2 linked regions of the Drosophila melanogaster genome follow. The gene in region 1 interacts genetically with each later gene. Each region holds a gene or a part of one and is shown in the gene's direction. Other genes may lie near its edges.

The links. A genetic interaction does not mean that the proteins touch.
Region 2: of Mvl (region 1) and ATP7, changing one enhances a phenotype caused by changing the other (phenotypic enhancement), as found in Drosophila melanogaster (one study listed by BioGRID).

What each region holds. Positions count from the first base shown.
Region 1 is NT_033777.3:21,054,144-21,062,896, reverse strand, and holds the start of Mvl (malvolio), read left to right. Parts: upstream 1-2,243; 5' UTR 2,244-2,312; exon of another isoform or gene 2,313-4,428; 5' UTR 4,429-4,429; coding exon 4,430-4,636; intron 4,637-4,696; coding exon 4,697-4,881; intron 4,882-4,945; coding exon 4,946-5,110; intron 5,111-5,182; coding exon 5,183-5,321; intron 5,322-6,046; coding exon 6,047-6,202; intron 6,203-6,270; coding exon 6,271-6,429; intron 6,430-6,487; coding exon 6,488-6,933; intron 6,934-6,994; coding exon 6,995-7,110; intron 7,111-7,173; coding exon 7,174-7,265; intron 7,266-7,481; coding exon 7,482-7,552; intron 7,553-7,855; coding exon of another isoform or gene 7,856-7,937; exon of another isoform or gene 7,938-8,249; intron 8,250-8,753. Other genes in the region: cortactin, read left to right, coding at 1-671. UniProt on the Drosophila melanogaster protein: Putative transporter required for normal taste behavior. May be a nitrite/nitrate transporter.
Region 2 is NC_004354.4:11,852,720-11,858,364, forward strand, and holds the start of ATP7 (ATP7), read left to right. Parts: upstream 1-2,302; 5' UTR 2,303-2,632; coding exon 2,633-3,602; intron 3,603-5,645. Other genes in the region: CG10347 (uncharacterized protein), read right to left, coding at 138-622, 682-1,939.

The sequences.
Region 1 (8,753 bases):
AACCCATTATCATTCCCAAGGCGCAGCCTGTTAAAATAGAATTAGAAGCAAAGGAGGAGCCAACGGCAAGTACAACATCAGCTGCGGTTGCTCCTACTCCGACAGTGGTCCCCGCTCGAGAGCCGGAAACAGCTCCAGTGGCCAAGGCTGCAGCTCCACCACCAGATGTGGTGCCCCAAATTGAGGTTGAGACCGTGGACACGCCTCCCAGAAGTGAGCCGCAATCACCAGTGTATGTGCCGACGCCTCAACCCGAAGTCCACGCCCAAGTCCAAGTCCAACCTGAGCCGCAACCTCAAGCCGATCCTGAGCCAGTAGTTGAAGAAGAGCCACTGTACCAGAACCAGGCCGAGATTAAGGCTGCCTCGCCCTTGCCACCAACGAATGGAACCGTTTCAGAGGCTGTTGCTCCGAGTGGCACCGCAACCGTTCCCGAGGAGGCAATCTACGCGAACTCAGACAATTTGGCCGACTATCTGGAGGACACCGGAATCCACGCCATTGCCCTGTACGACTACCAGGCGGCGGATGACGACGAGATATCCTTTGATCCAGATGACGTGATCACCCACATCGAGAAGATCGACGATGGGTGGTGGAGGGGATTGTGCAAGAACCGCTACGGACTCTTTCCAGCCAACTACGTGCAGGTGGTGGGACAGAACTCATAAAAGCTTCCAATTGAAATTCACGATAGAACAAAATCAAATTGTATTTACATACTAACGAAAACGATAATACTGATGTTGGATTATAAACCATATAAACCAATTCGCAACTAACCCAGCCCATTTCCCATCCATTGTTTACCCTCTTAACCCTCCAAATTATGTGCAACGAATGGCTAGATATTGAATTATTATTGTAATTTGTTATGCTAGCACTTAAAGTAACCGTGGTATTCCATTTTTGATATATGTATCATTTATTGCATTTTACATTCTTTGTATTTAACACATTTATTTTACCAAGAAAATATGCCAAGCTATTTTAGATATCTCTCATTTCATATTTTATGCATTAGTTATGATATTTGTGTCAAGTAACGATTTTGGTTTTTTTGAATTGTATAAAGTCTACGAGAGTTTCCCGTGTCAGGTGATCTGATCTAATGTTAAAGACGGATCTAATGTTGAAGACAGTCACAAACAAAAAGTCTGCTCTTTTGATAAAGAAATACATAATTAATAAAGTTAAATAATAACGAGTTCTCTCTTAAATTGTGGTACTGATAGTTCGGGTGTTTTTGTTTTTTTTTAAGGCCTAACAAATCATTTTACTAAGTAAAATGATTTCATTGGATACGGGAATTCACAAATTTCTATAAGAAGATAAGAACGAGCATATTGTTGGGTTCCTTCTAATATCACGAGGATATCTCTATTTTGGGGTAGAACTGTCAAGGCCTTTCTTGGATGGGCCGAATTCTTATCTGCCTGTTCCGAACGCATCGTAATCTGGCAAAGTAGAAATTGTTACATGAAACGAGCTACTGACATGATTCATGGTGCAAATGTGAGTGCATATGGGCTCAACAAAGAAAGAGTACTTTGCATTGTGGTGATTAATTAGTTAAAAAACATACATAAGTAGGATGTACGGCCATATTGTAAATTTGAGCGCCAATCCCAAAAAGACTTGATAAGATTTATCGCAATTATTGGCGACGGATCGTAATCGAAAAAAGTGTCAGACGAAATCAAAGTTTTGACTGATAAAGTTGATGTATAAATTAAACTTCAAGGAGGTATTACGATAAAGTGTGCGTGTTGGTAATAACGTAGATATTATTAACTAGTGATTGTAACTCAAAGGGTATGCAACTTAACTATGTATCCCGCATAACATTTCTAACGGTAACCTGCGGTCGATGTACAAACCGGTATTTCAAATGCATGTTCAAATCTTAGGCGGTATTTCTGGGGCCTTCAAAAATCCAAATCTCAGGCCTTATCAAAAAATCTCCCCTCAAAAAAAAGCAGTGGTCTTTCTCCCACGCACACACTCTCTCTCTCTCTCTTTCTGTCTTTCTTTTTCTCACTTGCCGACGCGAGAGAGAGATATTTTGAATAAATAGGGGCTACCGCAAAATGCTATAGTCAGTCACTCGATCGCGTGGGCTCAGAGTTAAAACTTCAGTTTGGCCGATAAGGTTAGTACTCTTGTCGAGTGTTGCCAGATTTCGGCAAGTCAAAGAAGAGAGAGTGGCCGCAGGTTGCCACATTGGGCACAGACGAAAAGACAGTGTGCATGTGAGAGGCGAGTGAGTGTGCGTGCAAAAGAAAGCAGCTGGTGGCAGAATCTCAAATATTGTGAGGAAAATTAATAAACAAAGAGCTGCGCTCACGGCTGAGCACAAATTGCCTGCACGCTCGTCAATTGTCGTTAACTAAGTCAGCAATTGGCAGCCAAACCGTCCGCTTCTTCGTCATTTCTCTGCTTCGTTTACTGCGACCATCACCACTCTTGTTTCGGCCGTACAACGTCACGGAATTCGTAAATTTCGTAAATTGCTCCGCGAGAAAAGCAGGAAAATGCATTTATAAGCTGCCACAAGTGCCGAGATTGTGATATAATAAAGGCGAGGGCTCCAATTAGTTAACCCCCAGTTGCAAGTAAGCCATTAACTGGTAGGAAGTGCTGTTTAACCTGAGTTGCCCAATAATTTACATCTCCATCAATATTTCGTGTGTGTGTGTGAGTGCGCACGCAGGTGTGCGCTAATAACAAAAACAACGTGGTGCACCCTCTCTCCGTCCGCTCTCCCTCTAACCGGCAAAGAGAGTAATGTATAATTCTTAACCGTAAATAACCGTAAACAGAAAACAATTGTTGACAAGCTATTCGCACTTTAAAATCCCCTAACAATGGATAGTTTTCCAGACACAATTCACTACTTTTATTGCCAGCGAGAACTGTCATAGAAATAACTATTTTAGGCAGCGGAAATCGTATAATTACTGTTTTAGTTTTTTTTTTTTTAACAAGCGACTTAACAATGTGGGCTGATAAGTATTGCTCTTCTATTTTCAAATTACTGTTATCTGCATTTGTCAATTTTTTGTTGTCAAGTGTTTTGTTTCGCCTGCTTCAATATACAATATAAATTGCTTTTGCCCGCTGACTGCGCAAAATGGTACGCAGTTTAAAATATATATTTTCTCTAAATAAACTCATGATATTTTTTGGTGCCACTTAATTTGGACTCTTAATGGAAATGGTTCGTTTTTTTTTTTTTTGATTACCAATTGTCATAATTTACAGCGTCCAACTGGGCACTAAAGTGGCAAAGGAACACGTACATAAATATGTGGCTGATTATACACTTATCGGCTAGAATTCCGCTTTTGGGGGCGTGGGTATTGCCATACAACTGGGTAAACAGAGCAGTCTGCGCCACACAATATAACACAAAAGTGTTCCAATGAACTAAACACCCTCCTCCGACATTTCGTTGTTACACATTTCCTTCGAGCCACTGCAGCGCGATTTAAGCTCCATTAATGGCGGCTTGATATGGCCAACTCGGTTACTTATAGTATATGCCAAATGTACCCGTCCAAGTGCCACATATAATGTGAAGTAGACATTGCACGATGCTCTCGAGCTCTTTGTCTTTGCTTGCTCCGATTCAATCATCAATGAAGCGATGTGGAAAGCCTTATAGCAGATATGTAGCATCAGTGGGGCAGTCGCGTTTGTCAAGGTGAGCCACTTGGCTCTACATTCAATGTATTGCGTTGAAGAGCAGCCAAGACTGCTCAGGCATCTTGTATACGAAATGCACTTGTAATCGCTTTTACCAAATAAACAGTCCAAAATTTCACATCGATACACGGGTCAATGGACTCGTGTTTATGTTCAAGTAGTCTTGTTTTCGACCATCCATATCTATACGACTGCAAATGCGAAATATCTGCAAGTTCTCTGGGTAAATTGGGCAGAGGCATTTCAATTACTGGACTTCATGAATCACTGAGCTCGTTTTATTTCCTTATATACCCGCATAATATAAGCAAATTTCAGTAATATTATGGACGCGTTATCAGTTACCCCCGAGCTAATGCCTCTCGAACTATTTATTGTTTTCATATTTTGCCACGCGCGTTTCGGAAAAAATAAAACGTGTTACTGTGACTTTGCTCTTGATTATGGTGAAATCCCCAAATAAAACTATATGGTGCAAAAAACTTAATTATAGCGCAAAATTATTTTGTTTGTTGTGTGCAATATGATAATGCTAATTGAGCTAGAATCACACACAGATGCTCAATTAAATGAAAATGGTGGGAATCATAAGCTGATGCCAGGTGAAACAATCAAATAGAAAATACAAATTAGAGTAGTCGACAATGGGCAGTGGACGGGAATATAGCAGCATGTGGAAACTCGAATTAGGTCCAGTCTAACCTCGCCTCTTCTGTGCAGCATGTCTTCGAATGAGGCCTACCACGAGCCGGGTGCCGGTGGAGATGGACCGGGCGGATCGTCTGGCGCATCCGGCGGAGGAAGTCAGCGGAGCAACCAGCTGCACCACCAGCAGATACTCAACGAGACGACCTACCTGAAACCCGCCGCCAAGCAGGCCTACTTTAGCGACGAGAAGGTCCTCATACCCGACGATGATAGCACAAACGTAAGACCCGCTTGAATAGCAATGCTACTCAAACTTTATCTAATATCTGGTGATCTGCAGGTGGGTTTCAGCTTTCGCAAGCTGTGGGCCTTCACGGGACCCGGTTTTCTTATGTCCATTGCGTATCTGGACCCCGGCAACATCGAATCCGATATGCAGTCTGGTGCGGCGGCCAAGTACAAGATCTTGTGGGTCTTGCTGTGGGCCACAGTCCTAGGTCTGCTCATGCAACGCTTGGCTGCAAGGTAATTGGGTCTCCACACCTTGCAAAAAAGATGATGATATAAGCGTTTATTATCTTCCTGGCAGACTGGGCGTGGTTACAGGCCTGCATCTGGCCGAGATGTGCTACAGACAGTACAAGCGTCTGCCACGTTGGATACTGTGGATAATGATAGAGATAGCCATTATTGGATCCGACATGCAGGAGGTCATTGGCACGGCCATTGCCATATACCTGCTGTCCAACAAAGTGTAAGCAAATCTAATGAGCGGATTATCGCAGTACCCAGTACTCATGCATGCGGTGCTTTCCCCATTTTGTAGAGTGCCTTTGTGGGGCGGAGTGTTGATCACCATTGTTGACACGTTCACGTTCCTGTTTCTGGACAAGTACGGTCTACGCAAGCTGGAGTTCCTATTCGGCACCCTCATCACCATTATGGCTGTCTCATTCGGCTATGAGGTAAGTTTAAAATGCAAAGTTGAAAAAAATAACTTAACTATAAAAAGTAATCGCCAAAATCAGCAAAAAATCCCCTTGCCAAATGACAATAAAGTAGTCAAGAGAATAAATTACCAGACGTGAGTGCAAATACGAATTGTTTAAACAATTGCAACGACCGCAATGGCAAATAATTTGTGAGATGCCTGTTTAGGTTTATTTTAATGATCGCTAGTAGTAAATTTACATTTGACTTGTCGATTTCTGGATGAAGTTAGCCCGTTAACTAGCCCCATATTCTTACTCTTAAGTTTACGACCGCATCATGTTAACGGGCCAGATTATAAACAATTGTACTTGAGCTTTCTGCCCCAGACGGAGATGATTAGATAAGCTTCACTCGCACACTAAATGGGGTTCTGAGCGTGGGTGCTGGATACTTCATCTTTTGTTTGCCAGGCACATGATGCTGCCGGACATGACTAACAATTCCAGATGGGATGTGTAATGCCAGTCTTATCAATTAGATTATACAATGCAGAATTGTACAATTACCGATGGTGGTTTTTGGAGATAATTACAATGGAAAAAAGTGGGGGTGCCTCGAGGGGATTTTTCTACGAGTAACAAGTATTTTGTTATTTCTAACCAAATCTCAATATAAGCTAGGAACAATTTGTTTTCTCCCCATAATCATTTTTTAAATGGTTTTAAGTCATAATTAATTTATTTTTCATATCTTTCAGTACATTGTATCAGCCCCTAATCAAGGAGAAGTTCTCGAGGGAATGTTTGTGCCCTGGTGCTCTAACTGCAATTCGAATGTGTTGCTGCAGGCCGTGGGTGTCGTGGGTGCTGTTATTATGCCGCACAATCTCTACCTGCATTCCGCCTTGGTTAAGGTATAGCACAACTAGCTTTTTGTGACTTCGTAATTAGATACCAATACATAACAATTTTCTGTTAACAGTCCCGCGATATAGACCGTCGCCAGACAAAGAAAGTTAGTGAGGCGAATTTTTACTTCTTCATCGAGGCGTCGGTAGCCTTGTTTGTGTCCTTCATCATTAACCTGTTTGTGGTGGCTGTGTTTGCCCATGGCATGTATGGCAAAACTAATAATGATGTGGTAAGTAGACTTTTGAATTTATGTGTAAAATGATTGCTAACTCTTTGTGGGCCAATAGGTTGAAGTGTGTAAAGACAAGTCGATGTACGAAGATGCCAAAATGTCTTTTGTGGACAATGTAAATGGAACCGCGATCATCGATGCAGATCTATACAAGGGCGGACTTTTCCTTGGCTGCACATTTGGAGCTGTCGCCATGTACATTTGGGGTGTGGGCATTCTAGCTGCTGGCCAGAGTTCCACCATGACGGGCACCTATGCCGGTCAGTTCTCAATGGAAGGCTTCTTGAATCTGCAGTGGCCGCGCTGGTGTCGCGTGCTGGTCACGCGCTGCATTGCCATTATTCCCACCTTCTGCCTGGCCATGTTCAGCAAGATGGAAGATTTGACTAGCATGAACGATATCCTGAATGCGGTGATGTCGCTCCAGCTGCCATTCGCTGCCATACCCACCATCGCCTTCACCTCGTGCGCCGCCATAATGGGCGAGTTTGTTAATGGACTGTAAGTGATACAGACACTTTTAATTGATTATCGTGCATTCTTTAAATTTTTGTATTCACAGGGGCAACAAAATCGTATCCATACTGCTCACCATTGTAGTGATTGGCGTTAATTTGTACTTTGTGGTGGTGCAAGTAGAGAATATGGAAATTAAAGGCGGCTTGCTGGCACTAGTCTGTGAGTAGTCAATTGCCACAATTTAAACCGAATCTAATGTATTTTTCCTTTTGCCAATTGCAGGTATTTTTGCCATTTTGTATATACTGTTCAACCTCTACCTTGTGATACACATGGCTGCCTGCATGGGCAATCAGCGTTTGATGAACAGCCGGGTAAGTACTTGGCCGCAACTAGTTGGGTCACTTATCAAATGGGCTTAGAGAATCACAAATTAGGCGAACTTTTTGACACATTTTAAAGCATCACAGATACCGCACTGAACGGACTGACTTTATCAAATTACGTGACTGACCACATATGGTTCTTGGGGGCTTTGAGGGCTTATGCCTACTTCATCAACTGGTACTCAAGGTATTCTCTGTTTACAGTGGGTGCAGCGTTTTGTGTTGCCAAGCCAGAACAGCTTTTCGATAAAGAACGCCAACTCGACGTACGCCAGGTATGTTCCCGATTTTTGATTCCAACCATTCAACCATATAACCATCCAGAACACACTCGAATGCACAAACTCTCTCGATTTGCATCTTCTTCCTTAAAAGCATTCTCTGCTAACCCATTGCTTGTGATTAAGTTTTTTCCCGCTCTGCTTTCAACCAAATCGGCCTAACTTCCTAATGATTCTAATCTTATCTCATCTGTACTTACTTTCTATTTACTAATCTACATTTGGTTATCATCTCTGAACTAAAACTAAACCCTCAACCCGTATTTTGCTGTGCTCTCTTCTTTCGATTTTTCACAGTGATGTAACCTTAGTTGTAGGCGATTCAGCTACTAACACGGTGAAAGGTCTTGATACCGTCTCGGAGAAAGTGCCTAACTGAATCATCCCGGTGACTCAATCAGGCCACACTCCCCCACACACCCTTGTGATATTAACACTAAATCACACGCTTAACACTACTAACACGTACCTAGTAGGGCTCTACGCAACCCTTAGCATTTGTAAGGCATGTCTTTAGGGGAACTACGATTGTACATAAAAAGCATTTACCCATCAACGATGGGGTCCTATAGATTATAAGCTTGACTGTGGTAAGTCTTCTATGATTGCTTTATCGAGCTATGGGTATTATGTACTCATAAAGCTTTGGCGCTTAGCATGTTAAATAAAGTTGCAGTTATCACTAAGTATTACTCGAGAAGTCTTTCAATTTATTGGTAATTGGTATTTGACCATAAGTGCGAATATAAGCCATTTTACGATTGGAATTTGATTGCACAAGGATTGTACAAGGAATTAGAACGAAATAAGGAAACAATTAGTAACTAAATGTTATATTTGCTTAAGTATTAAAATATATTAGATTATTTTAAGTATATTTTTCGTAATGGACATAAAGCACATTGGGCGTGGCTCATTTATCACCCTAATACCACTAAAATAACTAGAAATCCAAATAAATGTGGGTAATTTTCGAATAATTTTGTATCACAACATATTTCTTTTATTATATGTACTTGGAAACCCTGCACTCTCTCTGTATGTGTCTGTGTGTTTCACCACTGTCCCTCTCACTATCTTATACACCATACACCCTACTCTTATACTCGGTGTGTCTACAACACGACTGGATTGATTGATGTTTTCCGTTTCCCATTCATTTGTGGTTAATTGAAATGTGCCAAACAATTGTACA
Region 2 (5,645 bases), on another chromosome or scaffold:
ATATATATTTTTTTTATATATTTATATTATAAATTTTAAAAGTACTAATTTTTTAAAAATGTACATTTCAGAATTTGAATTGTAAAGCCATAATTCTTTAAGAGTAAATGGAGAAAAAAAGAAAAGCGGAACACCGTCTACACCTGCAGGTGTATCAGTTCTTTCTTGGAGAGAACGGTGATCAGATTGTTTGCCGTGGTTATGCCCAGAATCTCGTCAATCTCGTTGCCCAAGGTGATGAGCTTTTGTTTACCCAAGGTGACGGGAGGTCCGTTTCGCCTGCGGAGACCATCAGCCGAATTATTAGCCGGAAAGTAGACGAGAACGTAGCGTACAGGGTCACATATGGCTACGTAATCCAGATCCGGACTGCAGACGGTGAATTTCCGCACAACCTTGGAGGCCTGCACGTAGCCGAAGGCGTGCAGCTGGCCCTCGTGGCGGACACTCCATTCATCTGGACGACTGGGCTGGTACATCTGTAGCCATATGGAGGCGTCGACGCCCTGGCGGGTAGCAAAGGCGGCTGGAAAGCCAGGACGCAGCGTGGTGGTGAGCACCAGTGGCGGGGGACCAAGAAAAATAGTGTGGGTGATGCACCCGCTGGTCAAATTGAAGCGTACTAAAAGAAGAAAATGTATTTATTAAGCATATGCAGCAGATGTATAATAGAATGCTTACCCATCTTCATTTCTTCATCAGCGGATATTAAGTCACATTCTTCAACGGGATCCTGCAGACTTGGAATGGGCAGTGGTGGAGCTTCCATTGGATGTACTTCCTCCGCTACGTCATCTTTCTTCTGCGCGAACAAACGTGGCCAGTTCTGAATCTCCGCCTTGGTTAGTGACAATTCTAGGCCATTCTCAGCCAACTTAAATGCACTTAAATCATCTCCCACACTGGCGTATAACTCTTCGTCGAATATAACCTCATCCAGATGCTTTACAACGACAGTGGTTTTAGAACCGCTCACGTTAAACTCTTTAGCGGATGCAGTTGAAGGAACATTGAAACGAATGAGCACATTATTATCCGTTTGGGACCAGCTATAACTAGGTGGACCTCCATTTTCCAGCTGGCCATCGTGATCACCTGAGGAATTCAAGCGGGCAGCGGCTGCTTCATCGGCTGCCCGACGCTCCTCGGGAGTCTGAACATCGCGGTTGCTGGCAATGACTAGGGACTCGGCGCGAGGCTCAAAGGCGCAGTAGTGCACAGAGCCAGTGGTCTCCAGCCGTTGACAGATATTATATGACCACTCGTCATTGGTGGGCGAATGAGTCCACCGTGCCCAGGTCAAGTCCATGTAATAGACGTGCGTCTGATCTTGGCCAACTGCATCACGGCGTGCCACATGACCGGCCACCAGCGAGATCTGCTTACGTTCCTGCAGCACATCCAGCCGGGCATCGAAGAGTGCAAAGCCGCGATGACCACTGTTATTATTCACCGGCGAGCGTGTAATCCGTTGCCACTCCTGCACATCGGTGCGCGTTCTGTCGCCGGTGTCCACCAGATGGTAACTGGTTATACCGTCGCAGATCACACAGAATCGTTCCGAAACGAAAACTATGGTGTAGTTGTAGTCACCCGACCGATGTAGTTCCCCATCGCCCTGATCCCTATAGTCCACCGTGAGGACAACGCGCTGGGCACGTGCGCGTCCAGTCTGTAGATCGTAGTTGCACTGCACCAGCTGGTGGCGCTTGTTAAAGAAGTAGCTGCAGTGGCGCATCCATGGATCGGCTACCAGGTGATTGTGTCGGGCAAAGAGCTCCGTGTGCAGCAGCGAGAACTGATTGCTGCTCGGATCCAGCACGTAGGCATCACATCCAAGTTCCTGGCGAAGAACAGGCACCGAATCGAATGCCAATTTGTAGCCAGAAAAGTCCGAGCACACCAGGTTGCGATCCACTTTCAGTTCCACCACCGGCATCTTGCTTTACTGCGCCAATGCTGAGTTGGATTATATTGGAGATTTCGAAAAAATAGAGATAGATATTCCAAAACAAATCAAATCAAATCGGTAGTAGACCGGATAGAGATGGCAGATGACCGTTCGGCCGTGACTCGTATCGACTTTTTATCGACAAGTGGGGGATATGTACGATACCTTGGCAATTTTCAAATCTAATAAGATTCCTTTTTTTAGTTTGAAATTTAACTAAACAATTAAATAGCTAAAAAGAAAACATTAGTTAGTCACATATTTTTTTATCGAATCGAAAGTTTAAGCAATGTATCGATATAGCCCACATCGGTATCTAGCTCATCTCGATAGCGCCTGCCTATCGACGGACGGCCATCGGTAGTTGCGTGCCGTGGGAAAAACATAACGGGAGCGGAGCAGCTGTTGCCTGCTAATTGAAAAATTAGACACAAGAACGCAAAATTGTGAGTTTCGTGTGGAGTTTGGCCAAGTGAAAAGCGTTGGCGGGAGGCGACTACTCCACCACAACAAATCCAGTAGTAGCTGCAATACGACTCACCCGACTCCACAAAGTTAGTTTAGTGACACAATTCGGTACGTGCGATAGGGCGAGGGGCAACTCAAAAGTTCAAAATCTCAAGTATATCAAGTAATTCCGCATCGTCGTGTTCCGCCCACCCAAAATAATGCACATTGAGGATGCCAAGTGACGAGAGAGTAGAAGCGACGATGTCCACGGTGCGCCTGCCCATTGTGGGCATGACTTGCCAGTCGTGTGTGCGCAATATCACAGAGCACATTGGCCAGAAATCGGGAATCCTTGGCGTGCGCGTCATTCTCGAGGAGAATGCGGGCTATTTCGACTACGATCCCCGACAGACGGATCCCGCCCGGATAGCCAGCGATATCGACGACATGGGCTTCGAGTGCAGCTATCCAGGGGATGCAGCAGATCCTCCCGAAACTCCCGCCAGCGCATGGACCAACATACGGGTGGTGGGCATGACCTGCCAGTCGTGCGTGCGCAACATCGAAGGCAATATCGGCACCAAGCCGGGCATCCATTCCATTGAGGTGCAACTGGCGGCCAAGAATGCCCGCGTTCAGTACGATCCCGCCCAGTATGATCCCGCCCAGATAGCCGAGCTCATCGATGACATGGGTTTTGAGGCTAGTGTGCAGGAACCTCGATCGCCATCCCAATCGCCGTCGCCCGCCCCCGCCTCATCACCCAAAAAGAGGGCAACTCCTACTCCTCCACCTCCTTCATATGCTCAAAATGGTTCGGCAGTGGCCATACCCGTCGAACAGGAGCTACTGACCAAATGCTTTCTGCACATCCGAGGCATGACGTGCGCCAGCTGTGTGGCCGCCATCGAGAAGCACTGCAAGAAGATCTACGGCCTGGACAGCATCCTGGTAGCCCTGCTGGCCGCCAAGGCGGAGGTCAAGTTCAATGCCAATGTTGTGACGGCCGAGAATATAGCGAAATCAATCACGGAGCTGGGCTTCCCCACCGAACTCATCGATGAGCCGGACAACGGCGAGGCGGAGGTGGAGTTGGAGATTATGGGCATGACTTGCGCCTCCTGCGTCAACAAGATCGAGAGTCATGTGCTTAAAATAAGGGGCGTGACCACCGCCTCCGTCACACTGCTAACAAAGAGGGGTGAGTGTTTTTTGTGTACTTAAGCTAAGTGGCTTTCTGGAACTAGTTTATCCCGAGAGAATTTCAAATCACGTTCTGGGTCATGCATTCGAATCGAATTGCGAGTCTGGAAGCATTCCACAAGTGGCAGTGCCAATTGTTATGCAATATTTATAATAATAAACACCTGGAATGGGGCCATCAACCGATATGCACCTGTTGCGCTTTATTCTTGCCCAACGAGCACAGGTGTTAAATTCGATCATATATCTTGTATATCTTAAGGGATCGAATAATGCAATGGGAGTAATGAGCTGTAACAGAAGCAAACTATTGGCAATCGTTAATTGATGCAACTTGTGGCAATAACAAATATTAAATAAGCCATTCAAGGGAATTTCGTAGAATGCCCTTATTTGTTTTGCATTTCGCAGAAAGCGACAGCTGTTCCTTTTTATTAACCTACTAGCATCGAGTTCGAGTAGAATCGGTGCAAATGTTTTTTTTTTTTTTATTGTTCGCTTTTCACAATTTCCACAATTGAAAACTGGCCCAGCAATTGTTTATTGCAACTGATATACTCGATTTACTTTATGCTTTTTTTTCTGGGGAGGGTGGCAGGTTCGTTGATAAGAAAGTGCGAGGAGCACTATACTCATATGCATGTATGTATGTATGTACTTTATAAACCATACACTACTAACTATGCTTTCAGCAAACAATGCCAGTGGCAACTAGATTAAATAGCTGGAATTCACCACGCTCGTGTGCGTGGGCAGTAAAGCTATCTGGAACACTTGGATGAGGGGAATTCAATGGCAAGCCGAGAGTCGGGATATTTAAAATATTCAAGATATTCGCTAAAAAACACATAATATAATTATTGTTTTGTTGGGCGCTGGCAGCTCGAGTTTTATTTGCCAGATTATAGCGTGTTTTTTGCGAGTGTTCAGGAAGAACTTATATATACATATTTATGTATGCGATTAGCTGACAAAGAACAAATGAAATGATTTGAGCTCTTTGTTTTCATAAACTTTATACTGCCAATCGCATTTACCAATTAGCATTTAAGCCATGAAACTGAAAGTCCGCCTGGCCAAAGAAAAATCAAAACAAAAGTGAAAGAGCTCCAATACGCCTTGAAATACAAGTACATACATATAATGTATGTACATATATATGTATGAATGTATAATAATTTATATACCCGCGATTGGCGGGCAAACGAGCGAGGAACTAATCTCGCTTTTGTCTGGAAAAAAAGAGGGAAACCTCTCTCTTTTTCAGCTTTGCAGTCTTTCTGCTCCGCATGCGTGGCCACGAACTCCACTTCCACTTCGTACACAGCGAGAAATGGGGCTAACTATGATATAAGTATTATATAGAAGAGTGCTATCTACTTCGGCATATGATCAGCATATAAAATCTACTAATATTTAAAAGCACGAATCGTACAATGTTTAGCAAGTTTCTTTTATTTTATGTTAAGCACGCACTTTTTCTTCGAGTGCATTTCTAGTTTCATTCACCTTCACTTTGATTTAGAGCTGTTTTTACTTTACTTTTGCTTTGCCAGCTCAAAAATGTTGATTTGAAATTAGTGAACTAGTGGCGAATTATGCAATAACTTGGCTTTGATCCACCACATTCACATTGAATTCTGGCTGATTTACGAATATCGGTTTGCATACCCGTATTTATGTATGTACTAGATGTACGTGCGCCGTTTTGAGAAGCTCAATTGCAAATTCAAAAATGAAAATGCATAAATGGGGAGCCTCGTAATTATGATTGCAATGGAACTGGTTTTCGATTTTTTCGCATTCGACATGGAGACATGCGCACGGTGGAGAAAAGCGAGCGAAACTGTTGCGATTAAATGACACTGAAAATAATTTCAGACATTCAAAAGTGGTATGAAAACAGCGAGCCCACATGAATATCAATCGCTGGCAGCTGTATGATGGTATATAAAGTACAATATCGCTTGTTTTTTTAAAGTTTATTTGTTTATTTTGAATTTACATATATACTTATTAAGATACTTAATTGTATTGTAAT